Saccharomyces cerevisiae S288C: one gene and its partners. The protein of the gene in region 1 purifies or fractionates together with the protein of each later gene. This does not show direct contact. Each region holds a gene or a part of one and is shown on either strand. Other genes may lie near its edges. The genes, in order: HTB2, RFA1, PSH1 and CMR1.

Region 1 (7,622 bases):
ATTTCACCGACTTCGAAGATATGGCCATTTTACTGTACAATGGTGATGAAGAAGCAGATTTTTTTACAAACGTTAATCATATTCAGCTTCATCGTCGTCAGAGAGCCATTAAAAGACTAGGTGAACATGCTCATCAACTCAAAGATAACAGTATATCCCATTATTTAATTCCAATGATCGAACATTATGTCTTTTCGGATGATGAAAGATACAGAAATATTGGAAATGAGACCCAAATAGCCATCGGAGGGTTGGCGCAGCACATGAGTTGGAATCAATACAAAGCTCTTCTTAGAAGGTACATTTCTATGTTGAAAACCAAGCCTAACCAAATGAAGCAAGCCGTACAATTAATTGTTCAACTTTCTGTTCCACTTAGAGAAACTCTTCGTATCGTAAGAGATGGGGCTGAGTCGAAACTTACTTTGAGCAAATTTCCTTCCAACTTAGATGAACCCAGTAATTTTATTAAGCAAGAATTGTATCCGACTCTTTCGAAAATTCTTGGCACTAGAGATGACGAAACTATAATTGAAAGAATGCCTATTGCGGAGGCATTAGTTAATATTGTTTTAGGGCTCACAAATGATGATATTACTAATTTCCTCCCTAGTATTCTAACAAATATTTGCCAAGTTTTGAGAAGTAAATCCGAAGAATTAAGAGATGCAGTAAGAGTAACCTTGGGTAAAATCAGTATTATCTTGGGCGCTGAGTATCTTGTCTTTGTGATAAAGGAATTAATGGCTACATTAAAACGTGGTTCTCAAATTCATGTGTTAAGTTACACTGTCCACTACATATTAAAGAGTATGCACGGAGTCTTAAAACACTCCGATTTGGATACCTCGTCCAGTATGATTGTTAAGATTATAATGGAAAATATCTTTGGGTTCGCTGGTGAAGAAAAAGACTCTGAGAATTATCATACAAAAGTGAAAGAAATTAAGAGTAATAAAAGCTATGATGCTGGTGAAATTCTCGCCTCAAACATCAGCCTGACAGAATTTGGAACATTACTCTCTCCTGTGAAGGCTTTGTTGATGGTCAGAATTAATCTAAGAAATCAAAACAAACTGAGTGAATTATTGAGACGATATTTGTTGGGTTTAAATCATAATAGTGACTCTGAGTCAGAAAGTATCCTCAAGTTCTGCCATCAGCTTTTCCAGGAATCAGAAATGAGTAATTCCCCTCAAATACCAAAGAAAAAAGTGAAAGACCAAGTAGATGAAAAAGAAGACTTTTTCTTGGTAAATTTGGAGTCGAAATCTTATACCATCAACTCAAACAGTTTGCTTTTGAACAGCACTTTACAAAAATTTGCTTTAGACTTACTTAGGAACGTAATAACGAGACACCGCTCCTTTTTAACTGTCTCGCACCTAGAGGGTTTTATTCCATTTTTGAGAGATTCGTTACTTTCGGAAAATGAAGGTGTGGTAATTAGTACTTTACGTATCCTGATTACATTAATTAGGCTAGATTTTTCCGATGAATCTAGTGAAATCTTCAAAAACTGTGCGAGGAAGGTACTAAATATTATCAAGGTTTCTCCTTCAACTTCAAGCGAATTATGCCAAATGGGTTTAAAGTTTCTTTCTGCCTTTATACGTCACACAGATTCAACATTAAAGGATACTGCTTTGAGTTATGTTCTAGGGAGGGTCTTACCAGATTTAAATGAACCAAGCAGACAAGGCCTTGCTTTTAATTTCCTAAAAGCACTTGTTTCAAAACATATCATGCTTCCAGAACTCTATGACATTGCGGATACTACTAGGGAAATCATGGTCACAAACCACTCAAAAGAAATTAGGGATGTATCCAGGAGCGTTTACTACCAATTTTTAATGGAATATGACCAAAGTAAGGGTCGTTTAGAAAAGCAGTTCAAATTTATGGTCGACAATTTACAGTATCCTACCGAGTCCGGCCGTCAGTCCGTAATGGAATTGATCAATTTGATTATTACAAAGGCTAATCCTGCTTTACTATCCAAATTATCATCTTCCTTCTTTCTGGCGCTAGTTAATGTTTCTTTTAATGATGATGCGCCAAGATGCCGTGAGATGGCTTCAGTATTGATTTCCACCATGCTTCCAAAGCTTGAAAATAAGGACCTTGAAATTGTTGAAAAATATATAGCCGCTTGGCTAAAACAGGTTGATAATGCATCCTTTTTAAATCTTGGGTTGAGAACTTATAAGGTCTACTTGAAAAGTATTGGGTTTGAACATACTATTGAGCTAGACGAGCTTGCCATCAAGCGTATAAGGTACATTTTGAGCGATACGTCGGTAGGATCAGAACATCAGTGGGATTTGGTATACTCAGCTTTAAATACGTTCTCATCTTATATGGAAGCAACAGAGAGCGTTTATAAACATGGTTTCAAAGACATATGGGATGGTATTATCACATGTCTCTTGTATCCGCACTCATGGGTCCGTCAATCGGCGGCAAATCTTGTTCATCAACTCATAGCCAATAAGGATAAGCTGGAGATATCATTAACCAATCTGGAAATTCAAACCATTGCAACAAGAATTCTTCACCAATTAGGTGCGCCTTCTATTCCGGAGAATCTTGCGAACGTCTCAATAAAAACATTAGTTAATATCAGTATCCTATGGAAGGAGCAACGCACGCCGTTCATAATGGATGTATCAAAACAAACTGGAGAGGATCTAAAATATACTACCGCCATTGATTATATGGTAACTCGAATTGGTGGTATTATCAGGTCGGATGAACATCGTATGGATTCTTTTATGTCGAAGAAGGCGTGTATTCAGTTATTGGCCTTATTAGTTCAAGTTCTGGACGAAGACGAAGTAATTGCAGAAGGGGAAAAGATATTATTGCCGCTATATGGTTATTTAGAAACATATTACTCAAGAGCAGTTGATGAAGAACAGGAAGAACTACGCACTCTTTCAAACGAATGTTTAAAAATACTGGAAGACAAATTGCAAGTATCCGATTTTACAAAAATATACACTGCTGTCAAACAGACCGTATTAGAAAGAAGAAAGGAAAGGAGATCTAAAAGGGCAATTCTGGCTGTTAACGCTCCACAAATTTCTGCTGATAAAAAGTTGAGAAAGCATGCGAGATCGAGGGAAAAGAGAAAGCATGAAAAGGATGAAAATGGGTATTATCAAAGACGTAACAAAAGAAAGAGAGCCTAGCTGTAATATATCTTTATAACATGTATACTAATGAATAAAAAATCCAAGTTATAACGTCAAAGCTGTAGTACGTTAGCATTTCCGTAAGTAAAACCGTAAACTTGATACGTTTTTTATTTTCTTTATTAATAGTAATACTATACACTGTCTTTAATAAAACGACGCTATTTATAAAACTGTTAGATAAAAGACATACCAGTCTTCCTCATATGACCTACTTTAAAACCCCAAATGACAAGAATGTTTGATTTGCTTTGTTTCTTTTCAACTCAGTTCTTACAGTTCTTGAGAAGCTTTGGCAGTCTTGGCAGACTTCTTTGGCAACAAGTTTTGGTGAATGTTTGGCAAAACACCACCTTGGGCGATGGTAACATTACCCAATAGCTTGTTCAATTCATCATCATTTCTGATGGCCAATTGTAAATGTCTTGGAATAATTCTGGTTTTTTTGTTATCTCTAGCAGCATTACCAGCCAATTCTAAAATTTCAGCAGCCAAATATTCTAAGACAGCAGTTAGATAGACTGGAGCACCAGAACCAATTCTCTGGGCGTAGTTACCTCTTCTTAGCAATCTGTGCACTCTACCAACTGGGAATGTTAAACCAGCTTTAGCAGATCTAGATTGAGAAGCTTTAGCAGCTGAACCAGCTTTACCACCTTTACCACCGGACATTATATATTAAATTTGCTCTTGTTCTGTACTTTCCTAATTCTTATGTAAAAAGACAAGAATTTATGATACTATTTAATAACAAAAAACTACCTAAGAAAAGCATCATGCAGTCGAAATTGAAATCGAAAAGTAAAACTTTAACGGAACATGTTTGAAATTCTAAGAAAGCATACATCTTCATCCCTTATATATAGAGTTATGTTTGATATTAGTAGTCATGTTGTAATCTCTGGCCTAAGTATACGTAACGAAAATGGTAGCACGTCGCGTTTATGGCCCCCAGGTTAATGTGTTCTCTGAAATTCGCATCACTTTGAGAAATAATGGGAACACCTTACGCGTGAGCTGTGCCCACCGCTTCGCCTAATAAAGCGGTGTTCTCAAAATTTCTCCCCGTTTTCAGGATCACGAGCGCCATCTAGTTCTGGTAAAATCGCGCTTACAAGAACAAAGAAAAGAAACATCGCGTAATGCAACAGTGAGACACTTGCCGTCATATATAAGGTTTTGGATCAGTAACCGTTATTTGAGCATAACACAGGTTTTTAAATATATTATTATATATCATGGTATATGTGTAAAATTTTTTTGCTGACTGGTTTTGTTTATTTATTTAGCTTTTTAAAAATTTTACTTTCTTCTTGTTAATTTTTTCTGATTGCTCTATACTCAAACCAACAACAACTTACTCTACAACTAATGTCCTCTGCCGCCGAAAAGAAACCAGCTTCCAAAGCTCCAGCTGAAAAGAAGCCAGCTGCCAAGAAAACATCAACCTCCGTCGATGGTAAGAAGAGATCTAAGGTTAGAAAGGAGACCTATTCCTCTTATATTTACAAAGTTTTGAAGCAAACTCACCCAGACACTGGTATTTCCCAGAAGTCTATGTCTATTTTGAACTCTTTCGTTAACGATATCTTTGAAAGAATTGCTACTGAAGCTTCTAAATTGGCCGCTTATAACAAGAAATCCACTATTTCTGCTAGAGAAATCCAAACAGCCGTTAGATTGATCTTACCTGGTGAATTGGCTAAACATGCCGTCTCCGAAGGTACTAGGGCTGTTACCAAATACTCCTCCTCTACTCAAGCCTAAGTCACTCACTAGGTATTGTGATTTAGTCATGTTTTCTTTTTATTAGTGGCATTTTTTATATATTGTAACATTAGGGTTCTGTTACTTGTCCAGATATGATTGGAAGGGTCTAGTCTATCAGCCTCCGAAGGGAGTTGTATAAATGTATATATATAACTTTATAAACAAAAAAAATTGGGAAAGATATTTTGCAAACAGTTATTATTAAATTGTTTCTTAAACTCTCCTTAAAGATATACCCTATTTAGGTTCACTACACGAGCATTCATTGAGAAATTTTTTTTAAAACAACATCGATCTTATCTTGAGCAGTTTGGTGCTTATCAGTTCTAGTCCCAACACGAATATCAGTGTGTACTCTAACATATCCTTTCTCATGACCGTATTCATGGATTTCGCCAATCAAACCCATCACATCATCCCAAGGCCCTTCAATTGTTGTTCCTGCACTGTGTAAAGTGCTCTTTAATGGGCTTTCTCTGATTTTTTTTTCAATGAGTGCAACAAAATCAGAAATACTAGCAGAGTCGGTGCCAATAGGGACCATACACACGTCCGCTAAACAAAAGATCTTGGGCATTTTCTAAACTTGTAGTTTATGTGCTTTATAGTTAATGATCACGACGGCAATGACAAAAACTGAATATCTTGATCTCTCCTTTTGACGATGTCAGTGAATCCCGGTTAATGATATTCTGTTTTTCACGGGGTGGAAAAGAGGGGAGCTTGAATCATACTAAAAAAGGAATGTCAAAGAGCTATATAATTCGAATAAAAAGTAAAAGAAACGAAAGGTTTTATTAAAGGGTTTGGAGCTGTTTTCGGACTGAAAGCCAGTAACAAGCTTGTGTAGGAGTTTGTCTGAAAACCATCTTCATTTCAAATAAGAGAGCGAGTAATTTTTAAATAATTTCTTTTCTGAACTACTTAAATCGCTATGTACCTTGCGAAAATTATTCTTTAATAGTTTAACTAAAAGTAAAAAGTTAGAAATCATAAATAAAAAATCAAAGAGACAAATCTCGTTGCAAAAGCTTGAAAAATAGTGCTTTACCAACAGGTTGGCAAACCAGAATGCTAACAAAACTTAAAATCCCATTTCCCAAGAGGATCAATCAATCATATTTACCTTGATAGTATAGGATACAAGTGTCTGTGCAGGCCTCCGATAACATGTAAAGTAATAAAAGTAGGAGTACTTGCTTTCAGCAGAAAATGAAAAAAAGAACGTTCAAACAGACTGAAAATATAGCTATTCAACTGGCACCTACTAATATCAATAATAATAAATTAATCTTGAGCAAATTGATCCTACATAAATCATGTGACTTATTTATTTAATTATTATTAAGTAAAAAAGATTTTCTATTTAAATTTATTAATTAATTTTTTTTCTTAAATAATTATTTTATGTTTTTGTTTTCCGAAAAAGAAAAATATTTCAACAAGAAGTATCAATATATTTCTTGCAAAAAATTGTTCACCGAGAATTGACAAAAAAACCTTACGTCGGTGACGACGATATACAGATCCTATATTCTTCATGTATGTAATAGATTCCCATACCTTCTTCGCATTTAAGACACTAATAGAAATGAAAGCTTTCTATTAGTCATTCTTCCTATGCACTAGACCACGCAAAGGTGAACCGGCTTGGTACGAGAATTCTATCACACGGTAATGATAGTGTTCCCGATGTCAAGCAGTCTTATACAGTACTACCCAAGAGCTTAAGAATAAGCAAGAAGATCTGGCAAGCTACAAGGTACTCATAACGATCTTCAAAGCGTAAGTTATGATCTTATGAAAATCAGACTTTTTTGTCTCAACAAACTCCTAGTTTGAAGATGTTACTGAAATGCCCTTCAAACACTTTTACTTGAAAATCATCGATTACTATTCTAACCTTCACAAATGAGCCTTTACACAACTTGATTAATAATAATATTTGACCTTACTCTAAATCGTCTCAAATATTACTGAGGCACAATCTCATGGTTATTGATAGAAAGAAGAATATAACATATATCTTATTTACATATGTTCGTCAATATTATAGGTAATACAATTTTTTCTCAGAGGGTTTCAAACTATTGAAAAATGGCAATGGTGGACTACAAGCAGCGAGAGCCCTTCTTGCATGATTATTCATATATTTCAATCCGAGCAAATAACTTGTGTTCACCCAACCAAAGCCTTCTGTAGCGACGCCCTTAAAATCAGCACCTTGATTACCATATTCCGCATCAACGCGATGCGGATCAGTCCCTCTTGTCACATCATATTTTTCTACCACCATTCCGTTATAATCAACAAATGATTTTGTAATCATGTACAGCCACCTATAAGCCAATCTTGTAGCTACTTGTTGATAACCATATGCAGATAAACCTTTCCAGGCTAATATTTGGTGCGGCGCCCAACCAAAAGGATAATCCCATTGCCTGATCGGTCTATCAATAGAAATAGGACCTCTTGATTTTTCTGTGCATGCAACTAGTCCGCCGAGCATTTCTAACTGAGGAAGAGCTTTTTCTACTGTGATTTTTGCTTGCTCTTCAGTTGCAAGACCAGCCCACAAACTCCAAAAAGTCGTTGCAGACTCATAAGACGTTCTGCATTTCAGTTTCGTGTTATAATAGAAGAAAAACCCTGAAT
Region 2 (8,755 bases), on another chromosome or scaffold:
ATACGAGGATAATTAAGATGCAGTCATCATAGGTTTCTCTTCAAAAGGAGAAAGTTTAAATAGGCAACTGACACTGAAGAGGTATAGTCATGCCTACCGCGATTTCTTTGACACAGAATTGAAAAATTTTGCATTTTTTGGTAATTTCCTAATAATACGAAGTGCAATAATCTCACTTTGATAGGAGCACGTCATGATGGTAATTTCATACTACTGAACGTAAATGTTGAAGGTGAATTTGTAAAGCTTTGTTATTTGAAGCTGTACACCTAAAGGGCGGTAAATTGTTGGGTGTTAGTACCATGCCATTAATTAGAATTTGTTAGCATTTTTATTCATTTGTGCATTATGGGTTCAAATTCATATGACTGAACGTGTAGTTTCATATCCAGTCATCAAGAGATGCTGAACCGCCCTTCAAAAACTTGACGAAATAGAAGTTTTTTTTTTACATTTCTCATATGTTACATAGATTAAATAGTACTTGATTATTTGATACATTAAGCTAACAAAGCCTTGGATAACTCATCGGCAAGATAGTCGGCTTCAGCCCTGTAATTCAAGCTGTGTAGGTTAGCAACGGTATATCTAATTCTGCTTTGATCATTGTATGTATCCTCACGCGCTCTAATCCTAAAGTCATATTCGTTCATTTGGATACTTTGAGTAATTTTTGTGAATTCGTTGGGGTCTTCTTCCTTCAAAGACATTAATGTATTAGCATCAACACCCAATAATTGTTTAGCTTGGTCGTCAAATAAAGTGAGCCATAGTTGATTGGTTTCGTCAATAATTGATATTGTCAAGATGTATCTCCAATTTGGCCTTGCATTATTGGTGTCGCACTTCTCACATCTCCAAGTACCATCAGGCTGTTCCAGAACTTTCTTATTACAATTCTCATTAGAACAGGCAGGATATGCAAAATTATCAACTTTTAAGAAACTTATAGCAGCTTTAACACTAAAAAAGTCACCTTTCTCGCTTCTTCCTAGATTTTCAGCTTGAGCTCTAGCAATAGTAATACGCTGAGCAATGAATTTTGTTAAGCTAGCAGCCGATTGACCACCCATACCGGGTTCTTGCTTTAAAGTGATGAAGTTTGCGTTGCGGCCCTTGGAATCATACCAACCCTTTAAGGCATATGCCTCAGGAATTTCTGGATTCGGAATCAGGGTACTAGAAAATCCCATAGACAAAGATTTGCCACCAAAATCCGTCACACGAACACCTTTAATGGCAGCAACAGAACCTTCAGGAAGGTTGAAATCAAGGGCTTGCTGATTCCATAGGCCAACAGAGATAGAAAACCCAGAGTCGTCAACAATTGTGATGTCACGACGATCGAATTTCTTCCCAGCCCTTGAAGTTAGCTCAAAATGTGGGTTTATAGTTTGGATAATACCGAGGACGTCTACGTTGGAATTTACTTCCTGGTTCTGAATAGCATCTAGTTTGATGAAATTGAAATGGGTTTTCGGAACATTACTTTCATCGAAACATTCTTCTATAACAGTGTCTCTATCCAAATTCAGTTCATAAGGGTGTGTTAGATTAGTAAATTGGGGCTTAGCTGGTTGGAGTTTTGCCTTTGATACATAGTATACTTTGCCTTCTTGTAAAATTTCGTTAAATTTTGTAGCAAAATCATTAAACGCCGTGGCTCGGATTTCTCCAGAGGTATCCAAGAAGTTGACATTGAATAGTTTACCATCACCTCTTTGATTGTGCCACGTTTTAATTTCTCCCTTGTAGGAAACTCTTGCTTTGATAGTCCAAACGTTTTGGTATGGAGACAGTTGTTCGATGGCAAAAATTGGTCTGGTTTTTTGCGAATTAGGGTTTTCATTGGCGAATTTTCTCTCATTTGCATTCAAGTTTGAGTTTGAATGCAGCATATCAGGGACACCAGCATTGCTGGCGTTTGTTTGATTGGCAACATTACCACTGTCAGTTATATCTTCGTCTTTTAAGGTTTCATTTGGATGCTCTGAGAAATAGTTATCCAAAAAAGTACTAGTTTGGTTGACCATATCAGCACGCGACTGGACCAACTCAAAGTCATCTACTAAAAGAACGTATTTCTTTCTTTCCCTGACAATAGCAGGTTCTGCAATTATCACGCGAATGATATCACCCCTTTGTAGTTCCATTGACTGGAACTTGGATGCAGCTTGGTTTCTCAACAGAGCCTTCATATGGTAAATACCATCGGAAATCATGATCAAATTCTTTCTGTTGCTGTTAGCCCCATCAGATTTCCTGGTGTTATAAACTTGATAAACGCCACCGGTGGGATTATCGTACCTTTGCTTATTGGTGAAGATGCTATGAAAATCGCCCCTCGAAAGTTGAACACTGCTCATCTCTTGTAAGTATAATCTGGTCTTCTTGCTGGTTTCGCCTTTACCGTAATAAGAAGAGTGAATAGTTTTTGTTTTACGTGTAGAACTTAAAGTGATAACATTTGTTCAAGTAAACCTTTATGTTAGTTCACGCGTCTTTTGTCGCCTCGTCTAATTTTTACGCGTGACATTTTTCCAAGCAGAGATATTTTATTGAGCAGCGAAGAAGAGTTAGAGAATAAGAAAGTGATGCGATAAGAAATCCACCCAATTAGCATAGATCCTTTCGTATATGGCTGAAGAAGGTGGTACGCGCATAGCTATTAACATATATGCAAAAAGAACGGCAAAAGGCGAGGAGGTTTTTATGCCACCGCTAGTATTTGACATAGATCACATCAAACTTCTAAGGAAATGGGGTATTTGTGGTGTGTTATCTGGAACTTTGCCTACTGCAGCACAGCAAAATGTATTTTTGTCGGTACCTTTGAGGCTTATGTTAGAAGATGTGCTGTGGCTGCATTTGAACAATCTTGCCGATGTGAAATTAATAAGACAAGAGGGAGATGAGATTATGGAGGGAATAACATTAGAGCGGGGCGCCAAACTATCTAAAATTGTCAACGATCGTTTGAACAAGTCATTTGAATATCAGAGAAAGTTCAAAAAGGATGAACACATTGCAAAATTAAAGAAAATCGGTAGAATCAATGATAAAACCACAGCTGAAGAATTGCAACGGCTTGATAAATCTAGCAATAATGACCAGCTAATTGAATCTTCTTTGTTCATTGACATTGCTAATACCTCTATGATTTTAAGAGACATACGGAGTGATTCAGACAGCTTATCCCGCGATGATATCAGTGATTTGTTATTTAAGCAGTACAGACAGGCAGGAAAAATGCAGACCTATTTCTTATACAAGGCATTGAGAGATCAAGGGTACGTTTTGTCCCCAGGTGGACGTTTTGGTGGGAAGTTTATAGCATACCCTGGTGATCCTCTTCGTTTCCATTCACATCTGACGATACAAGATGCGATTGATTATCATAATGAGCCGATTGACCTAATATCCATGATAAGTGGTGCAAGACTAGGAACGACTGTGAAAAAACTTTGGGTCATAGGCGGTGTTGCGGAAGAGACAAAGGAAACTCATTTCTTCTCAATAGAATGGGCTGGATTTGGTTAAGCTGGGAATCAGTCATGTATAATTATTTTCTCAGAATTTATGTATTTATAAGGTTTTTCAGAAGCATACATATGTGTAATACAATTTTTAAATTTGCATTGATATTTTGATGCATTCAGCGGGAAAGTAGTTGTTTATCACTAGACATATAATTATGTTTATTTATATTTAGTGGGAGCAAAACAGTTTATTGAATGTTTACCAGAACCGAAAAAAAAGCTCTTCTAAACTGTTGACATCCAGTTCATTTACTTCCACGTGTAGATGTGAAGGAACAAATATTTTAGCATCGTTCATACAAGTAATTATGCTATATTATCGATCCTCGGATTTCAGCTTCCGTTATATCGGATGATTGTTACTCGACCTTTATGTCGTCTTTTTACATCATATATGATAATATGCTAGCAGTTTTAATACAAATTGATCGAAGATAGTTGGTTCTGAGAAATGGGTGAATGTTGAGATAATTGTTGGGATTCCATTGTTGATAAAGGCTATAATATTAGGTATACAGAATATACTAGAAGTTCTCCTCGAGGATATAGGAATCCTCAAAATGGAATCTATATTTCTACATACTAATATTACGATTATTCCTCATTCCGTTTTATATGTTTATATTCATTGATCCTATTACATTATCAATCCTTGCGTTTCAGCTTCCACTAATTTAGATGACTATTTCTCATCATTTGCGTCATCTTCTAACACCGTATATGATAATATACTAGTAATGTAAATACTAGTTAGTAGATGATAGTTGATTTCTATTCCAACATACCACCCATAATGTAATAGATCTAATGAATCCATTTGTTAGTTAATAGTTTAAATGTTTTTATCGGAAGAGGTTTTGTCATCACATCAGCAATGTTCTTCTTGGTCTCGATGTAGTATACGTATAAATTATTACCTGATACTTCATCTCTAAGTCTCATTGCCTTTGTGCCAAAAAATCTGTTTCTAAATTTCTCTTCATTTGTAGACTTAATTATACTGATCGTTGATCTACTATCAGTAAGTAAGCCTTTAATAATTGGTTTCTTGTTAAGTTCTTGTATCAGGTAACTTAGATTATTTAATAATGGGACAGATTCACTTATCGCGTGTATTTCTGCTTCCGTAGTTGAAGTACATGTTAATGAAGCCTTGGTGGACTTTCCTCCAATTACCTTTCCATTAAGTAAATATATGTTGCCAATTTGTGATTTATAATACGGTTGGTTGCCATACGAAGCATCACTTATTGCGACTAGTTTATTATCTGGCTCGGTAGGTTTGTTTTTGTGCCATATCAGTTGTTTATCTCTAGTGTCCCACATGAATTGTATCAACTCATATGTCATGTCTAAAACTTGCCTAGAGGGGAATAGTATATGTTGAGCAAGTGTGTTGATGTAGTATAGTAAGTCAAATCTAAATTTATATCCAACATATGAAGCTAGACCAATCAACTTTTGCATTTCATGTACCTTCTCTTTGTATTCATCTTCATCTATTTCTAGTTCATCCTGGTCTATATAAAGACCTGGTTGACCTGGAGCTCTAAGTTTCTTTCCTTTTGGGTTCAAAGGTACGTTTAGTTTGGGTAATTTTTCTGTCAAGGATTTTTCCATACCTAATTTCATGTATTTACCTCTTTGATATTTGATTTCTAAGCCAAGTATGTCGTACTGAATTTCGTTATCACTTTCACCCAGATTTATTATCTTTGTATCGTATTGTTTCTTGAGTGTTGTTATGATTTTCTTATTTGCATTTAAGTCTTTGCTGAACAATATCATATCATCAACGAATAAGCAAATTGTTACTTGACTATTCTTAAATACGCATGACCATCCACGAACTTCTTCCATACCACACTGTTTTATCAGGTATGATTTGATAGTTTCGTACCAGTTCGCTCCACTTTGTTTCAATCCATAAAGTGATTTCTTCAAACGTATCAACTTATCATTCATTCCTAAATGTGGTGGAGGTCTTATGTATAATTCTTCTTTGATGTCTGCATACAAATATGCCGAAGATATGTCTAATTGTGTAATATAGTAGTTATTGTCTAATGCAAGTGACAGGGATGTCATCAACGCATAATGATGTACAGTGTTGGATTGCATACCTGTATCGTACGTATCAGGATGCTGAATGTCACCTCTTGCAACAAATCTAGCTTTATGAGTTCCGTCACGTTTCTTGTTGAAGATAAACATTGAGTTTATTACTCTTTTAGGGTCTATTTCTTTTCTGTCATAATATTTGTCAGTGTCCCAAGTATTCATTTTCAATAGTTGGTTGACTTCTTTGTGGTATGCCTCGATATATTTTTCTTTTTCTTTAATATCTTTATTATAGGTGATTGCCTCATCGTATCGTAAGGTTGTCCGTATTGGTTTGATTGATTTTACTGCTTTTACAGCTGCAATCAGGTGAATTCGTTTCTTCGATCTCGGAGGTTCTAAACTACGCATATTCTTAGTATTCCATGTGTCTCGTGATACCTTAATTTCAGTTTCATTATCTTCTAATGATCTTTTCTTACTGTTGATAGTAGTATAGGCATTAGAGTCACCAATACCACCCAAACTGGAATTAGTTTGATGAGAATTTATCGGTGGGAGTTCTTTAAATGGGTCAGGGAATTCGGTAGGAGATTCTGGAGGTAGATCAGGGAGTGGGAGATCAGCGATGATAGATTCCTCGGTATTCTGTTCAGAAACAGTAGTTGGCGTTTTGATAGGAACAATATTGTGCGATGAATTATTTTCCGGTGGAGAAGCATCGATTGAAGGTGAACGGTGTATAATCCTTTTCTCAGTCTCTTGGTCACTTATCTGCGGAACAGTTTTGTTGTTGGTACCACCCGTACTGGATATTGGTACGTTTGTATGATTAGTCTCATTTTCACTGTACGAGTCTGAGTGTCTGAAATCTTTAGATTTACTGGCGTGCGACGACTCATGTGTGTTAGATTGGGACATGGGAGCAAGTAAAGGAACATTTAATTTATGCATACCACCCGAACCGGTACTCTCGATATTGGAAATTTGGGGGGTGCTAGATCTCTTCTTTGATGGAAGAATATTAGATTCAGATATGTTGGGGTCAACTTCTCTGGGTGCGCGAATATTGGTTTTAGAAACACGTTTCGAATCTTCAGTATGAGTTGACGGAGGTGTGGAATCGGTTGGACTCACAGCTTTTGAAAGGACATTTCTCGGTTGCTCAGGATGTAGTTCAATGTCGGATTGGAAGTCATGGTCAGATTCTATGTTAAGATCATTGGATTCTTGGATCTCATTTGACGCAATGAACGAATGATATGAAGCAGTTAAACGGTTTAAGTCTTCATCGAAAGTGAGTGCGTCGTAATTGAATTGATCTAATCTGGATTCCTTGCCCTGAAGAATAACATAGTTAGTTGTATCTACTGTCTTCTTTAAGGATGGAAGATAGATGATATATCCATAAGAGTTTCGAGACGGATGTAGAGCGTAGCCTGGGATGCCACGAGGATGTATTTTGGAGTTAGGGTTGTGATCATTGACGATAACAGGTTGACCGAAAGGTAACAAAGTACTGATATCAAGTCCTGCCAAGCCAGCATGTTGTCTTGCAGATTTTTTGCTTTTAGGTGAAGCTAGTGAATTTCTCACAATAGTAGAAAATTCGATTGCAGAGAACCATAAATGGTTCGGTAAACCACTACATTGCAGTTGAGTACGGCAGTCATCTAATAAGGTACGGTTTAGCCGTTCAGCGACTCCATGTGCTCGGGAATCCGCTGTGGTTGTATAGCATGGAGTTATACCATTTTTTTCAAGGAATTTATGGAGAGTTCTGTTAGTATACTCAGAACCACGGTCCATTTGTATAACCAAGACACTGGCCTGAAACTGGTTTTTAATAAAAGCTAGTATCGTAGTAAAAACATCGAGGATAGAGTCCTCGCGACGGTCGTGTAATGGATAAACCCAACGCAATTTTGTTGTCTCATCAGTAAATGAGATGAAATAGGATGGTGCACTTTTTGGTAGGTTGTGAACTGGACCAAATATGTCAGTATGTAGGTATTGAAAGGGTTCGTATGAATTTTGGTATTTTAGTCGTGAACCTTTGATATGTCTGTGTTTGGTGCTTTTGCCGATTAAACAATCAGGACATTGATAGTCAATAGCACTAGACCAGTCGACATCTGATTCGTTAAAATACGTGATGGTGTTATTTTTAAGTGAGTATCGAATTTGTCTGTGCATTGGCATGCGCAAGCATTCGATGAATGAAAGGATAAGGATATTTGCGTGTACTTTCACTTGTATGGACATTATTGATGGTGGGTACGGAGATATTTGATGGAAGCAAGTACTTTTTAGATACCCAGTAAAAGTCTCCATATTTTACGATAGGTGCAAGTACAGTGCCGTCAGACCGTTCTAAGACGTTTTTGGTAAAGCATGCTGTGATATCTACTGCAGCCAATTCATTCAAACTGAGTAAGTCATAGGCTATGTTAGGAGTGTGCAATACCTTTATTGATGTTTTGGTGTTGTCCTGGAAGTGAAATTGTAGGTCACCAATAGCGTTAATTGGTATATTTCTTTTTTGAGCATCAACTACGTTTATGTCAGGATTAGATGATGCTGAGTGTATGTGATGAGCAGATCTTATAAGGGTTCGTGATGCTCCTGAATCGAGAAGGAGGTGTCCAGGGAGTTCATCATCAGAATGATTAGTATGATTTACTGTAGATTCAGTAAGTTTCTGGCCTAAGATGAAGGTCGTGCTTATTGTTCAATTGAATCGGTTCAGTAGTTGATTTACTGATGGAATCGTTGTCCGTGCTGGGAGAGTTATTAGATGTGGATACATTGTGAGCCCTGGCTGTTTTCGATTTCGAATTATTTGTTTTTTGAGGATTCCGAGCTATAACTTTGGGTTTGGTTGTATTCGTATAGCTGCGAGAATCATTCTTCTCATCACTCGGATTTCTCCTGTAATTAGGTTTACTGTTTCTCGATCCCTGTTGTTCTTCATAAATAGCATGGATATCTAAGAACAGTTCAGCGACTGTCATATTTAGATGTCGATGACGTGTGTAGCGTAAAAATTTATATTCGCCAGATAGACCTCTCATAATTAATTGGCATGCGACCTTGTTATTGATATGAATGCCATTATTGTTCAGTCTGTCGATAATGTTTGTGACTTTTGTTTC
Region 3 (7,723 bases), on another chromosome or scaffold:
TTCCAAACACGGTTCTCCGGTATTTAGGCATCGAATAAACTTTGCTAATCGACTAAAAGCATCTCTGCATATCTATACGTGTATATATTGTATTCGCTACAGCTCGCTCCTTGCATCAACTCTTTTTTTCTTTTTTTTCTTCCAGGTTAATCAATTACTGTACTGTAGCTTCTTTTTTATATTTTTTAGGTTTTCATATAGTGTCTTACGCAAATAGGCGGACCATAGAATGACTGTCACCATAAAAGAATTGACTAACCACAACTACATTGACCACGAACTATCAGCCACTTTAGACTCAACGGATGCGTTCGAGGGTCCCGAGAAGTTGCTGGAAATCTGGTTCTTCCCTCACAAGAAGTCCATCACGACCGAAAAGACATTAAGAAATATTGGCATGGATAGATGGATCGAGATTTTGAAATTAGTGAAATGCGAAGTTCTTTCCATGAAGAAGACTAAAGAACTGGATGCCTTTTTGTTGAGTGAGTCTTCCCTCTTCGTCTTCGATCACAAATTGACGATGAAGACGTGCGGTACTACAACCACATTGTTCTGTCTCGAAAAGCTTTTCCAGATCGTTGAGCAAGAGTTATCGTGGGCTTTCCGCACAACACAAGGGGGCAAGTACAAACCATTTAAAGTGTTTTATTCTAGACGATGTTTCCTTTTCCCCTGTAAGCAAGCCGCTATCCATCAAAACTGGGCTGACGAAGTCGACTATTTGAACAAATTTTTCGACAATGGTAAAAGTTATTCCGTGGGAAGAAATGACAAGAGCAACCACTGGAACCTGTACGTCACCGAGACGGACCGCTCCACACCTAAGGGAAAGGAGTACATCGAGGATGACGACGAAACTTTCGAAGTACTGATGACGGAGCTGGACCCAGAATGCGCTAGTAAGTTTGTTTGCGGGCCTGAGGCATCCACAACCGCTCTCGTGGAGCCAAACGAAGATAAGGGCCACAACCTCGGCTACCAAATGACTAAAAATACAAGGCTTGACGAAATATATGTCAACTCGGCCCAAGACTCCGATTTATCATTTCACCACGATGCATTTGCGTTCACGCCATGTGGATACTCATCCAATATGATTCTCGCTGAAAAATACTATTACACCCTGCACGTGACTCCGGAAAAGGGTTGGTCTTACGCCTCTTTCGAAAGTAACATACCCGTATTTGACATTTCCCAAGGGAAGCAAGACAACTTGGACGTTCTTCTACATATTCTGAACGTTTTTCAACCAAGAGAGTTCTCGATGACCTTTTTTACCAAAAATTATCAGAACCAATCCTTCCAAAAACTACTAAGCATCAACGAGTCACTGCCCGACTACATCAAGTTAGACAAAATTGTTTATGATCTGGACGACTACCACCTTTTCTATATGAAATTGCAGAAGAAAATATGAAAAGCCGCCATTTGTGTCTCCTCATACTTACATAGAATAGCCCTCTTCTATTATCCTTCGCTTGCTTTCTAGCACTCATAACTAATGTAGTTTAACCCGCTTGTATATCTTCTACATCATTACCCCGCATGCTTTTTTTTTTCCTCTAGAGAAAACCGGCACAGATTGGCCGGACCCGGAACAGGAAAAATGGCCACTGAAAATTCCTGGCCAGACCACCCCTGAGCTAAGGGAGTTTAGCCGCTCAAGCTTTTATTTCCTCTGATGTAATATATCACACACCCAGACACGGTTGCCAAGGCCTCGACGGAAGGCCGCTTCAAGGGACGGGGCAGTGGCTATCAGAAATACCTTAATATCATCAATATTTTTCATCAATCGCAAGGTGTCAAACATCAATAAAGGATGATGCTCAAAGGTTTATGCCCGATGTTCTTCTAATCCCCTTTCTCTCCTAAAATAATCCTTTTTTTACTCTTCTTCTTTTCCCCTGTTTCCATTTTTGTCTTTTCTCACCCCTTATGGGACATCAATAATGCAAGTATGTTTATACATTTTTATATAAATGTATATATAAATGCCATTTCTTACACATAACCTCCATTCTTTGGTTAATTCTTTCTTCATTCTTTTTTTTTTCATTCTGAAAAGCCCTCCAAGCAAGCACGCTAATTTAATATCGATTTAAACATGAAAGTATCACAAGTTTTCATTTCTGCCATCTCTGTCTTCGGCCTCGCTACTAGCGTAAATGCTCAAAACGCATCCAACACCACGAGTAACGCTGCTCCTGCTTTGCACGCTCAAAATGGTCAACTACTAAACGCCGGAGTCGTCGGTGCTGCTGTTGGTGGTGCTTTGGCCTTTTTGATTTAGGAAAAACGCCGCTTACTGCCACGATGATGATACCCTATTGACGTTTCTGAAATGTATAATTTCTTTTCTCATCTTCCCCTTTGATATTCCATCTATAGGCCCCAGAGTAGTAAATTTGGTGCTTTAATTTTTTTTCTCTTCTTCCAGTTCGTCTCTATTTTTTCATTCCATTATATTTATTTATCAGTTTTACTTTCTCAAATATTCTTATATAACACTATTTCATCTACGTAACCGAAAATAAGTAGTTTAATAACGATAATAATCATAATTGTGATAAAAATATTTACATTTTTCTTACTTGTCGCCCGCTTCGTTTTTGTATAGAACGTACTGTATTAGTTGTCCGTTCTTTTCACGTCTGAAGAGGTCGATTTCTTGCAATTTAACATCAACGTGGTATTTTCCATTATATACAATCAAAGAATCATCGTCCAGTTCGATTTCGCCATGAAACCAAAGGTGTAATGCATGTGAGTCCCCCTGCAGTGGGTATTCGTACTTGAACGACCCGTATACCCTCTCCGGCGATATAATCTCAAATAAATCGGCTGTTTCCAAACCAATGCGGTTCAGTAAATCGTCGATGGTTCCCCGTATACTTATTGGCCGATGCGTTATCCTCCATTTGCAAACAAAGGGTATTCTATACCAAGTGTGCGAACTATCCCTTTTATCGTCTGGCTCCATTACAATACCAGTTACACATGGATCTTGATCTTCGCACCACATGCTGAATTCATTTAACGTGGGTGAATTGCCATCTTTATCAAGCAATGGTACTCCGTATTGTTCCTTGATCATGTCATGACCGGATAATATCTCTAAAACCCTTAATTTAGAAAGCTTCTGTACTTGGTTTACGTCAACCTTTTTCAAATCTCTGGTACTCAGTTTACGTATCTTGGATGATGGAAACAATGGTAAGAAACTTTGTTCCTTTAAATATATCACTCTATAGATTAGTGAGTATCCTAATATCACACCGAATATACCACCAAATATGGCGGACCATATTTGCTTTCGGCGCTTGTTTCGCTGATGTGTTATTGCTTGACCAATGCTTCTCAAGTCCTCTCCTTTTATGTTAGGACTGTGTCCCTCTTCAATTTCCCCCAACTTCGTCTGTTGCTGTTGATGTGGCGTCGTAAAAAAATGCTTGCCATCATGGACATGCCTTTTCGACTCTGTCAATGAATTTCTTTTAGTTGTAATGCTTTTATTCAAGGTATTCAACCTTACATGACAATAGGTAGGCGCCTGGGTAAATAAGCATATACTTCTCGCGGACAGTAGAGATGTGTTAGCATTACGTAGAATCGCAAACCGTATCATTACCCCTTTTTCCTTCTTCTTGCAATTGAATACAGGAAACAGTTGCTTTGTCTTATGTTCGCTGCCACTCTTCTTTGGTTTTAATGCTTTGTTTCTCTCCTGCACTTGAATTTTATTGCTCGGAAAATGCTTCTTGCATAACCCCCACATAATTGGGCTGATTAACGTGACGCTAAAAAAATACCAATAGCAGTCCCAAAAAAAAAAAAAAAAAGATTCACATATGTATTGATTTTACTTTACGAAATTCTTGACCTATTTATATCATAAACGAGTGCTTATATTTCCGATCCTACTATCGCTTAAAAATCTTAATGTAATAAGGATAGAAAGGAAATTTTTTAAAAACATACATAAAAGTTCCGTACATATGCCGTTCCCGCTAGTTAAAATGTTCAGATTATTCATCGTCACTGTCTCCTAGAACTACACGGAAGCGTTTCTGCCTTTTCGGTTGTGGGTCATCTAATTCTTCCGTGTTATCGTCATTGTTATCCTTGACATCGCTGGAGCCGGAATACGAAAGTGAACGATCTTCGGAATCAGAACTCGATTGTATCCGTGTAACCTCCTTCTGATCCTCATCAAGGCTATCACCACTTACAAAACCATCATCATTATGCTCGTAAAAGTCACTATCGCGATCTTCCTCTTCTGTAGCATGTCGCCGTTGCTCCTCTTCCTCATCATCAGTAATAATTACATGTCTGTTCTTGAGTGCAGACAATACCAAATTCCTCCTACTTCCATCTTCATCTTCGTCATCTTCATCATCCTCTATAAAATCTTTCAAATCGGAATCCATCTCCTCTTCTTCTTCCTCATCCTCTTCTTCGTCGTCTTCATCATCCACAGCATCCACAGCAATACTACGATTATGTGACCTGGCCCAACGGCCTAGTGGGATATGTTCTCGCATGGGCTCCTCTTCACTGCTATCATCGTCTTCAGAACTTACATCATCTCTATTAGCAAACGGATTGGTAGACGCAAATCGATTCTCTCTACGCCTACGCATGCTTTCCCGGATTTCATCCAACTCTCCTTCACTGTATTCTTCTTCATCAAATTCGTCGCGACCACCTGCGTAATTCCGTATTCTGGCATTGCAGTGGGGACAAACATTTCCGTCCTCTACTTCGTCTGGGTCTAATTCCCAATGACAATTACTACAACGTGTGATACCATCATCCGAGTCGTCGGCCACTGCCAATGCGCTATTCTTAAATACTTTGTCAAACAATGTGTCCTTTTCCTTGTCATTCTTGTAATCATTTTCCTCCTTGGTTTTAGTTGTTAAAAGTTTTTTAAAAGATTCATCATTCTGGTCCCTTAATTTCTCTAAAATGAATGATAGATACTGTTGCAACGTTGTATTCAATGCGGGAATGGTGGTAATATCAGATCTGCACTGCGGACAAGCCAATTCTTTTTGAGTATTGCTGGCAAACCAGGTGTTCAGACAACCATAGCAATAATTATGACCACAAGGTGTCATCATCGGTACAAACATATAATCGTGGCAGATGGAGCAAACTAACGATTCTATTATCTTATAAAGTATGGCGTCCTTGGTGCCATCGTTTTGGTGAAGTAAACGGTTGTGTAATTCGTCGCCCATTATTCTTATCAATATATTAAAACTTTCTGTCTGAGAAAAAACGCGATCGTTCGTTTTCTGAAAACTTAATGCTTAAAATAGAATATTATCAAATTCCTCATCGCAGTTGTATGCTAGAAGAGAGCTCATCTAAATTGTAGTGGACATAGGATAAAAAACGCCATTGTGTGAAATGGCCCGAAAAAAAAGTATTGGGTATTCAAAAATAACGACCCCAGTGAGGGTTGAACTCACGATCTTGCGATTAACAGTCGCACGCCTTAACCAACTTGGCCATGGAGTCTAATATTTTATGAAAGATCTAAATTTTAGAAACTTAATGATGCACAGTTCTCAATGCACAAGATTGTGAGAAATGGGAGAATTTTGAGACAATTGTTGAGATTCCATTATTAATAAAGGTTTAATATTAGGTATATAGAACATGTTAGAGGTGTTGGAATGAAACTTTAAAATATCATCTTTTTAGTAGTATTCGTGTTACTAGTATATTATCACATGCAGTGTAAGAAGATAACATAAAGATTGGGAAACAGTTAGATTGATTGAAGCGAAATGCAAGGACTAATAATGTAATAGGATAATGAAATGTATAAAACGGAATTGGGAATATTCGTAATATTAGTATGTAGAAATATAGATTCCTTTTTGAGGATTCCTATATCCTCGAGGAAAATTTCTATTATAATCTGTATACATAATATTATAGCCTTCACCAACAATGGAATGACAACAATTATCAAATTATTCACCCAGTATTCAAGAGGTTTTCCACAAGGATATAGGAATCCATAAAAAGGCATCAGTATTATTATTACCATTTCTTATTCATTTACACGCCGTTATTCACTATTATTGAATAATCAATCATTGCATTTTTCAGCTTCCATTACATCTGATGCTATTTCTTAACCTTTATGGTTGCCTCTTATTCAACAAAATTAAAAGGATGAGGATAGAGAGTTAACTGGTTTTAATTTTTGTAGATGTAATGTATCCTCTTACAATTTACATTTGTTAACTCTAGGACATTATTAGGCTAATAAAATCATAACAAAAAGAAAAAAAAAACAAACGAAACAAAGTATTTTTTGTATGCCATGAACCATCTGCATTAATTACTTTAAAGCCAATAAGGACACTAATTAAACGAAAAAATAGGTATACTACTAAGAGATAGGTGAATAATTTGGTAATTATTCAGATGAAACTCTAGAGTGTCATCCATTTAGTAATATTCGTGATACTAGTATATTATCAAATACATTGTAATCATAATCATCATCATCATCATCATCATCATCATCATCATCGTCATCATCATTATTATTATTACTATTCTTTTTATTCTTCCCATTTTTATGTGCAGGCCCTTATTATCTTATTACAATATTTATCCTTGCATTTAGCTTTCATATGAATCTAATGACTGTTTCTTAGTCTTTATGTCATCTTGTCACGTCTTATATGATAATATAATAGTAATATAAATACCAGTCAATAGATATTCGTTAATTGAAAGGGGAGCATCAAACAATTGTGACCAATTAATTCTATATATTTACAAACTTTTACTGTTGTATTAGGGCTCGAGTAATACCGGGGTGTCTAGACAATCCTAATATAAGGAGTCTTTGGGAAGTAATCAGTTGCCAAAACGGATTATCAGCTTGATTCATGGGATGTTGCTTATTCTATATATCATATAAAATATGAATTACACTAAATGATGAAAGCGAGGAATCTCAGATCTAAACTAATTGTTCAGGGATTTATACGTTTGGGTGGTTCAACTACGGGAGGCGGAGTTTTATCTCATGTTGCTCATTCTATTCGTTTTGTTATAAGGTTGTTTCATATGAGCGTTTACGAGATGATGTATTGTCATACTGAGGTATGCTATCCTGAGATGTAATACCATCAAGAAATTCAGCGCAAGTGGTTTAGTGGTAAAATCCAACGTTGCCATCGTTGGGCCCCCGGTTCGATTCCGGGCTTGCGCAAATTTTTTGTTGAATTTTTTTAATTTCAACATTGCAATGTATATAACTTTTGATAGATTGATTAATTATTGATTACACTTTATTTTTTCTTTTTCTATCCTCTTTTGGGCCCAGTATTTCTGTCAACGTTCCCCATCGTTGCCAGTTATCCTATAAAGGGAACTGGATCTATTACTTTTACTTACAAATGTGAAAAAAGTTAACATGTGCCGTTTAGCCTAATATGACCGCGTGTAAGATGAATCCATTCTAGCAGCCACGTATTGTGTTGCCTTTTATTACACAAGCCCTCCGTACTTCTTTAGCGACATGTATATGTATAGCTTCTATTTTCTGATAGATTAATGATCCCCGATGAAGGTTAGGAAACCCTTAGAGCTATGCCAGCTGGCAGAAAAAATCCTATTATTTAAACCATCAGACAAAGCATACTGAGACTTCGATAAAGGTTGCATTCCTTGCGTTATT
Region 4 (8,749 bases), on another chromosome or scaffold:
AGACTTATGTCGTTTGAAGACATATCTGCATCATCGATAAGATCATGAGACGAAATTGTTGTTTTATTGACCACGTAGTCCTGGTCAAACGCTTTCAAAGTCTTGGTATGATAATCTAAAATAGAACACCCGAGTTTTCCTCCAGAAAAGTCAATACACATTACAATCTCCTCGTCAAAATCGAAGGAGAAAATGGTAGAGCTATCCTCTTCACGATTTGTATCACCTTCGTTAAATTCTCCGTCATTGTTGGCAACGACAGCACCTTTATCCCGCAAACCTTCCCCATTACCAATGCTTCTCATTGTTTCCGATGCGCTTATGAGCCATTCATGGGACATATTCCATTTGGTGGCAGTATATGAATGAGTAAGTTATTTTGAATGAGTTGTTTTGTTAACCTTGATTTTAGCTTCAATTTTTTAATAATTAACCGCCGAGCTAATTTCGCGTCATATCCATATGGATTGTGGATGCTTTAAAAAAAGTACGGAGATTAGTATGTTTTAAGGTTAAAAAGTTACATATGTTTATTACTGATGATTAAAGTTTTTGTGTGCAAAAGACGGTAATGAATCCTTTTTCCTTTGTTGATGCCATGTCTCGAGCTGAGGCTTTTTAGTTAGATCTTTCTACTCTGTGTTCAGCTAATGCTATCCACTTCGCTACGATCTGTGAAGAATGCAAATAACGACGTGAAGAATATTTTCTCCATATGGCGTTATGACGTTTAGAGGCATATCTGCAATTTTCTAAAATAATGGTGGCCAACGGAAGAATTTGTTCTTGTGTATAATTGGAATAGTAGACGTGCGCCAGAGACCACTGATTTTGGCCCAGAATAATCTTACTTAGAAAGTATGCACCGGCAGCTAACCAACTAGGTTGAGCGGAAACCAGTCGATGGTCCATTATTGTGGATTCCAATAGATATTTGGCCAGTGTTCTCGTATCATGCTCGTAATCGTCTGCCTTACTGATTCTTCGTAAAAATGACATCGGACCAGGCCAACCCAATTCAAATTCTAAGCCGTTCAAAATAGTTCTTTCTGCGTCCAGCAGGTCGTTCCTTGAGTAGCAGTTTTCTGACATGTATACGAAATCCTTGATTGTAGGACAGTTGATTTCCTCATATTTAGCAGCAATGAAGAGTGAGGCTGCACCCACAAGTTGGAACTTATTTACAGGAACAACTTCTTTGCACAGATATCTGTCTATTATATTAATGCAGAGATATAGAGTTTCAGGTAAAAGTTGAAATTTTTCATGTACTTGGACGATCCAATCAATCAGTGTGCTTCGAAACGACCATCTTAACTCTGGTTGTTTATCCATGTAGTACGGGTTGGGTTTATACAGGTCTTCCAATTTCCTCATATACTCGAATATCTCATTAGATAATTCGGCAACCATGACCACATCGTACACGTCATCATCATTGGGATCTAATGTAGTTCTATAGTAAGTTCTAAATGCATGCTCCCAGACCAATGTATCACTAGCATAATGTTGCAACAGTAGAGGCTCCTGGTCTTCTTCTTCATCCTCTTCGCTTTCTCCGTCGTCTTCAACGGGTTCCTCTTGTTCCCTGTCCGTTAACAAATCGTTATGATCAGCTTCTTTTCTCTGTGCAACACTATTCGCATCCAGCCTTTCTTCCTCAATTATCGCAGCTGAATCCAATCTTTCTTTAATTGGGGCGACTTTTGGCTTACTTATGCTGTTGTTGCTAGAGTTTGTCGCAACTATATTGGTAACGTCGCTAAGTGCGACCCTCGGGTGCGCAGATGAAATATGACTGAGGGATCCAGTCCTGTGTTTAAGATTACCTATAGGTGCCACATTTTCATCCTCGGGGCTCCTGATGTGTCCAGAGCTCAAAGACTGTGAGTTATGATGCATTTATAATAAGCAATGATAAAAAGGACAAAATATCTCTATGTTTTAAAGCGAAGGACAGAAACAATAAATAGCTTTTTCTCTGCAATTTTCTTTTCTTTTCTTCTAAGCAAGCAGCTAAAAATTTCTGATCGTTTTCTTTCGACCGGATCAAAAATGTTTTTATGTGTCCATGTTCTTGCATTTCAATATTTTTGTTTTCTTTTGTTTTGTTTTGTTCCTTCGCTTGTCGCCTCGTTCTGCTGAAAAGCGGGAGAGAAAAAAGGCAGTGCGGGTAACTGAGATGTTTTCATTCTTCCTGCTTTATGGTTCCGGAGTCATCAGTAAAGAGGAATATTTTGCCGCTAGAATTACCACCTGCAATCCAGTTTCGCAGCGGGTGCCAACTAATTACAGCTGGGACAGTAGCTGTGGGTAGGTGAGCCAGTTGCTGGCCTTCGCTGTTGTATATGTCGATGGCGCGCTTCATGTTAGCTATTGCAAAAACATTCTTGTTCGGCTTGAACCTGGCCTTGAGGATGCTTGTCCATCTTCCTGTTTGGCAATTGTGCTGAATCGTTAGTTTGGGCTCCAACTTCGCAGAAAGGTGATCCCTACTCTTGACATCGAATAAGCGGATGGTATCGTCATAGCCATTGCACACTAAGGTGCCATCTGTCGGTGAGTAAGAAACTGCAGAGACGCTCAATCTTGAGTCATATGTGGAGACAATTTCATGACTGGGATAGTCTTCATATTGTGACCACTCTGGCTTTTTAACAAGGTTTCTTGTATCCCAGATTTTGAGTGTTCTATCAAGTGATCCGGTGGCAATCTCGTAGGGTCTCATGGGATTTATTGCCATAGACCCGATCTTCTTGTCTGCGAGTCTTCGCAGATTATACTCTGATTTTTTTACTCTTGTGTCAAACGTGGTGAATTCACCACCTAATGTGGTGAGGAATAAAACATTTGGGTTTTCGTAGCTAAACTGGCAATCGCTGATACCCAGTGAATCGTCATATTCATTTTTCAAGGTGAGAACCTCTTCACTCTGTAAGTTATTCAAGTGAACTGACCTGATGCTTCCGTCGTAAGAGGTGAGCAATATCTTCGATGTGTCCGCAGGGAAGCAATCAATACGGCCGACGTTTTTGGTAAATAGTTTCACTCTGGTGATATCGGGTTCTTCCATTCGGTCCTCTTCGCTGTCAGCTAGTGGTTCATCTCTAACGTTCCAAAAACCCACAGTACCGCTTGTATCACCTGCAATTATTAGCTTTTTTTCCATAGCAGGATGGAAGTAAGTGGCAGAGATTCTTTCGTATGTAATCTTAATTTCGTTCGGTTGAAAAACGTCATATAGATCCAAATCAAATTCGTCCATCCCCGTAACGTCACCCTGTCTCTTTTTTATTTCTTCAAAGAAATCACCAGAAGAAAAGTTTCCGTTATTAAACCTCTTGAATTTCTCTAAAAGGGCACTTTCGTCTTCATCCTTGATCAGATCACTTAATTTCACATCTCCTATTACAGGTTTCTCCTTTATTGCGTCTATAAAATTCTTATCCTGGCCATCTGGAGAACCCATTTTAAGCAACTGATTATCGTTCACATTGGGTATTCCTTTCACATCGTCTGCAGACTCACCCCTTAGCCTTCTTGATCTTCGTGTAGGTAAAGTGGGACTCGCAGACTTGGTTGCTCTGGTATTAGTTGTTTTTTGTTTCTTTTTTGCAGGAGCTCTAGATTTTTCCAACACCCCAGCCTCGTGCTTAATTTGAGATGCTACTCCAGACAAATGGAGTTTTTTCAATAAATCGTTATTCCTTTTGATGTTCTCTAAACGTTTTTTCTGAAATTCTGTTAATTCCGGCATTCTTGACTGAAAAGCAGCTTTCTTTTAATTGCCGTACTAAAATAGATCGCCTATTGTGTACTATTGACGACAAATGCAAGATTAAAGGGTTTTTATCTTCTCTTTAACAATTGTTCAAATATACATTTACCTCTTTTGGCGTTATTATAATTGTAACATGTCAGAAATTGAACATTAACAAAAAACGCGTAATATGGGGTCCTCGGGTGAAAAATTAACGATGGGCTTTTGAAAAAAGGTACGAGCATATAAAGCGAGTACAGTCATTGTGTGCCACCAAGTAGGAAACAAAACACCGCTTAGAGAGAAACAGCAAGTGGTGAAAAACAATGAGTAATATTTTGGCAGTGTTCAACCCTCCACCACAAAGGGAGCTGGAAAAAGAAGAGACTATGGATTGCGTTCCTTGTCAAGTCATGAGCACTATGTTTTCTGTTGGATTTGGCTCATACTTGGCATCTGGGAAACCATTCAAGTATGGTAAAAAAGAAGCCAAAAGAGGCATTTCTCTGACTGAATTTGAAAAAAGAAACCCACAATGGTGGAAAGTAACTTTACGTAGCTTCGGTGGGTTATTAATCGCCTTCGGTTTCGTTAGAGGAACCGAAGGTTGGTTGTGGCATAAAAATAAAGAATATAAGAACTATAAGAAATTAAGTAACGATGGTGAAACACAGGCTAACTAGTATTATTCGCAAGCTTCTCTCAATCGTGAAATTTTCTGTACATAAAGTGCTACTTTGATGATTATTTTTAAAAATATTGTTACATTAGAAAATTGGTTTGTGATTTACATAATCAGGAGAGTCTATATATATATGAATATAGCTTTGAGAAAGGGATGTGAAAAAAAGTGCAATATGTTCCTAACTAATGTTATCGCATGCATTCAATGGGTTGATCTTTCCGATTGTTTCTTTTCTAACTTGGCACGGTCCAAGGCTTCTCTTTTAATTCTCTTGTCTTCCTTTATTTTAGATTTTATTTTTCTACACCAATGTCTAAATTTATCATCTTTAGACGGTGATACGTATTTCATTATAAGATCATGATGTAGCAATTCATGAATCGATGACCTTTCCCTTTCATTCTTAATACAACACCTATTGACAAAATCTGTCATTTCCTTGGAATAGATACGGTCTTTGGGTAATCTTGGTGAAGGCTCGTTGACAATACGTTGCAGCAAATCCAATATGCCATCAGGTGTATCGTTATGCCCACCTAGGGGAAACTCTCCAGTTACCAGCTCGATGATCATTAAGCCCAATGACCAAACGTCCCCTTTGATAGAATAAACGTTTCCTTGTATCCTCTCTGGTGACATATAAGTGGACGTTCCAACAAATGTATCAGCGATAGAATTTATTAGTTTTTTGGAAACTCCAAAATCACATAACTTAATCTGCCCCTTACTATTAATCAGAACATTGGAAGGCTTGATATCACGATGAATGATCTTATATTGTCGGTACAAATGATCCAAGCCATTTAGTACGCCATACGCTATTTTTGATATTGTTAATTCGTTGAACCAGGTTTTCTTACTCGAAACAGTCCCTCTTTGAACAAACCTTTTATAAACGGACAGTATTTTATCTAAAGAACCACAATCAGAGTATTCCATTAAAATTATGATTTCATTATTTATATGCTGGTTATAATAAGCTCCATAGAAGGTGATAATGTTTTCATGGGGCTTAACGTTTTTGACGATAGATAATTCCCTAACTAATTGGTTGATGATTGTACTGTTATTCTGTTCCACAGGAATGGTTTTTTTGGCAACTATTTTGGAATCAGGAACATGTAGTGCCTTCACCACAGTTCCAGAATTTCCAGCACCAATTTTCCCCAACTGAACCAAGTCCTGGAGTTGTATATAATTACCATTTGAAGTTCCCGACAACGTATCTTTCAGATCTGCTGCGGCTGGCGATAGGCTTTCCTCCAAAGGTGGTAGTGATATCGAATGTTCGTTTTCAACTGGTGTTGCAATATTGGACAATCCCTGAATCGTAGAGGGAGTAGAATTCGTGGATGATGGCGATAATCCGAAATTATTACTGTACGCATCTATAATGCATGGCGTGGACAAAGATGATGATGATGATACACACGGGGATTGTGATAGAGAAGACAGAACTAAAACAGGTTCATTTTGCGGTTGCTGTATTACCACAGTGTTTGGTTTCGATATAGCTTGGTCATCACCAAACGCATCCAACGTCAGTTTTTTTTTTATGCCTCTTCGCAAAAACAGGTTGCTATTATTCTGTATTGCATTAATGTTAGACATCACGTGGCCTTCTATTCGAGATTGTCCCTGGTGAGTCTCTGTCTTTTCCTGCAATTGGCCATTATTGCCCACATCTGGGTGCAGGTTAAGATTGAGCCCTTTCAAGTTCCTTCTCTGTAAAGTCTTTCGTTGAAACATGACCAACAACCAATATACCACGCTGCAAAAACAGATATGATCCGATGCAGTTTTCTTATCATTAGTGTCGCTTCACATTAACCTGTAGGTCTTCTAATCCATCAGATGGGCCAATAATAGTATGATATCGCCGTTACCCCACGAATCACTTATAACGAGGACAGTGATCAAAAAAGGGAGGGAAAAAAATTTCGTAAGAAAAAGGACAACACAATCTTAGAACTAATGGGCGATTGTAACATTGGGGTTTGCAAGAAAAGACAATCATCAATAAAAGTGTTTATTATCTGATTGTACATTTATTTCTCATCATTGGATTCAGTTTTGTTTCATCCACATTCTTTTAAGACCACAAGCTTAATATTTTCATTCATAAAGGATTGTACGACAAAACAACAATAATAGTAAATATAGTCATATTTTATTCCTAATAGAAAGATAGACGCAGAAAATTCTTACTTTTAGCCCTTTTATTTCTTCATAACCGCATCGCCATTCGCATAATAACTTATCCCAGGCCTAAAATACGACAAGAAAGAAAATAGTAGTAATGGGTTCCATCAATAATAACTTCAACACTAATAATAACAGTAATACGGATCTCGATCGGGACTGGAAAACTGCATTGAATATTCCCAAGAAGGATACCAGACCACAGACAGATGATGTCTTAAATACAAAGGGTAATACTTTTGAAGATTTTTATTTGAAAAGAGAGCTGTTAATGGGTATTTTTGAAGCCGGTTTTGAAAAACCATCCCCTATTCAAGAAGAGGCTATTCCGGTAGCAATAACTGGTAGAGACATATTGGCCAGAGCAAAGAATGGTACAGGTAAGACAGCCGCATTTGTTATTCCTACGTTAGAGAAAGTCAAACCAAAGTTGAATAAAATTCAGGCTTTGATCATGGTTCCCACAAGAGAGTTAGCTCTGCAAACTTCCCAAGTCGTCCGTACATTGGGAAAACACTGTGGTATTTCATGTATGGTGACCACTGGTGGTACCAATTTGAGAGACGATATTCTAAGATTAAATGAAACAGTCCATATTTTGGTTGGTACTCCTGGTAGAGTGTTGGATTTAGCTTCGAGAAAAGTAGCAGATCTGTCTGATTGTTCATTATTCATCATGGACGAAGCCGATAAAATGTTATCTCGTGACTTCAAGACAATAATTGAACAAATCTTATCCTTCTTACCTCCAACTCACCAATCTTTATTATTTAGCGCTACTTTCCCACTAACGGTTAAGGAATTCATGGTTAAACATCTGCATAAGCCTTATGAAATTAATTTGATGGAAGAATTGACTCTAAAGGGTATTACTCAATACTACGCCTTTGTTGAAGAAAGACAAAAGCTACATTGTTTAAATACTTTATTCTCTAAGCTTCAAATTAATCAAGCCATTATTTTTTGTAATTCTACTAACCGTGTCGAATTACTAGCCAAGAAAATCACTGATTTAGGCTATTCCTGTTATTACTCTCATGCAAGAATGAAGCAACAAGAAAGAAATAAAGTTTTCCACGAATTTCGTCAAGGTAAGGTTCGTACATTGGTCTGCTCCGATTTATTGACCCGTGGTATCGATATTCAAGCCGTTAATGTCGTTATCAATTTCGATTTCCCCAAAACGGCAGAAACATATTTACATCGTATTGGTAGATCCGGTAGGTTTGGCCACTTGGGTTTAGCAATCAATTTGATTAACTGGAATGATCGGTTTAACCTTTATAAAATCGAACAAGAACTGGGCACTGAAATTGCGGCTATTCCGGCCACTATCGATAAGTCATTGTATGTGGCTGAAAATGACGAAACGGTACCTGTCCCATTCCCGATAGAGCAACAGAGCTATCATCAACAAGCGATACCTCAGCAACAATTACCATCTCAGCAACAATTTGCTATTCCTCCGCAGCAACATCATCCACAATTCATGGTTCCTCCTTCGCATCAGCAACAACAGGCGTATCCTCCACCGCAAATGCCATCGCAGCAGGGGTATCCTCCACAGCAGGAACATTTCATGGCGATGCCACCTGGTCAGTCACAACCCCAGTATTAAAGAATATCTAAGAAAAAATAACTACTGTGGTGAGATACGCTTTTTTTGTGATCTAATCGTCGATTATTTTTATCTTTTTTCAAATCTCCATTGTGAATTACATTACTTTGTAACCATACTTTTACTATTGATTTTGAACAAGAATCAGTCGTAATTTAATTTTTGTCTCTGCTTTTTTATTTTTTTATCCGTTTTCTCTAGTTTCTGTGCTGATTTTTTTATCCTCATTTGCGCACCGTTTTTATTACTATCACTTTGTTATTTCTTTTTGTTTCTCTAAAATTATCTCAAACCACTTCATTCTTTTACCAGTCATTGTTGTAACCAATACTACCGTCCATATCAAGAGCTCAAGTGCACTTGCCCAGTTTCATCGACACTTTCGCTTTTAGCTAACTTTTATTGTTATAATTTCCACAATAAACTATTCATTTCAACTGACAAGATGAAACTTTCTTTGAATATTCTTTCTTTTTTTGAGTTT

The links.
Region 2: the proteins of HTB2 (region 1) and RFA1 purify together in Saccharomyces cerevisiae (affinity purification with mass spectrometry; 3 studies listed by BioGRID). This does not show direct contact.
Region 3: the proteins of HTB2 (region 1) and PSH1 purify together in Saccharomyces cerevisiae (affinity purification with mass spectrometry; 5 studies listed by BioGRID). This does not show direct contact.
Region 4: the proteins of HTB2 (region 1) and CMR1 purify together in Saccharomyces cerevisiae (affinity purification with mass spectrometry; 3 studies listed by BioGRID, with this or other methods). This does not show direct contact.

Annotation. Positions count from the first base shown.
Region 1 is NC_001134.8:231,924-239,545, forward strand, and holds HTB2 (histone H2B), read left to right. Parts: upstream 1-4,568; coding exon 4,569-4,964; downstream 4,965-7,622. Other genes in the region: UTP20 (Utp20p), read left to right, coding at 1-3,194; HTA2 (histone H2A), read right to left, coding at 3,471-3,869; ECM15 (Ecm15p), read right to left, coding at 5,230-5,544; alpha,alpha-trehalase NTH2, read right to left, coding at 7,018-7,622. UniProt on the Saccharomyces cerevisiae protein: Core component of nucleosome. Nucleosomes wrap and compact DNA into chromatin, limiting DNA accessibility to the cellular machineries which require DNA as a template.
Region 2 is NC_001133.9:156,254-165,008, forward strand, and holds RFA1 (replication factor A subunit protein RFA1), read right to left. Parts: upstream 2,367-8,755; coding exon 501-2,366; downstream 1-500. Other genes in the region: COMPASS subunit protein SWD1, read left to right, coding at 1-32; tRNA splicing endonuclease subunit SEN34, read left to right, coding at 2,713-3,540; YAR009C (truncated gag-pol fusion protein), read right to left, coding at 4,344-7,934; YAR010C (gag protein), read right to left, coding at 8,291-8,755. UniProt on the Saccharomyces cerevisiae protein: As part of the replication protein A (RPA/RP-A), a single-stranded DNA-binding heterotrimeric complex, may play an essential role in DNA replication, recombination and repair.
Region 3 is NC_001147.6:226,143-233,865, reverse strand, and holds PSH1 (ubiquitin-protein ligase PSH1), read right to left. Parts: upstream 5,253-7,723; coding exon 4,032-5,252; downstream 1-4,031. Other genes in the region: adenosylmethionine decarboxylase SPE2, read left to right, coding at 230-1,420; DDR2 (Ddr2p), read left to right, coding at 2,111-2,296; AIM39 (Aim39p), read right to left, coding at 2,594-3,781.
Region 4 is NC_001136.10:169,926-178,674, reverse strand, and holds CMR1 (Cmr1p), read right to left. Parts: upstream 3,758-8,749; coding exon 2,189-3,757; downstream 1-2,188. Other genes in the region: MutS family protein MSH5, read right to left, coding at 1-341; B-type cyclin CLB3, read right to left, coding at 619-1,902; DMO2 (Dmo2p), read left to right, coding at 4,087-4,443; mitogen-activated protein kinase kinase STE7, read right to left, coding at 4,647-6,194; YDL159W-A (uncharacterized protein), read right to left, coding at 6,362-6,493; DExD/H-box ATP-dependent RNA helicase DHH1, read left to right, coding at 6,745-8,265. UniProt on the Saccharomyces cerevisiae protein: DNA-binding protein that binds to both single- and double-stranded DNA. Binds preferentially to UV-damaged DNA in vitro. May be involved in DNA-metabolic processes.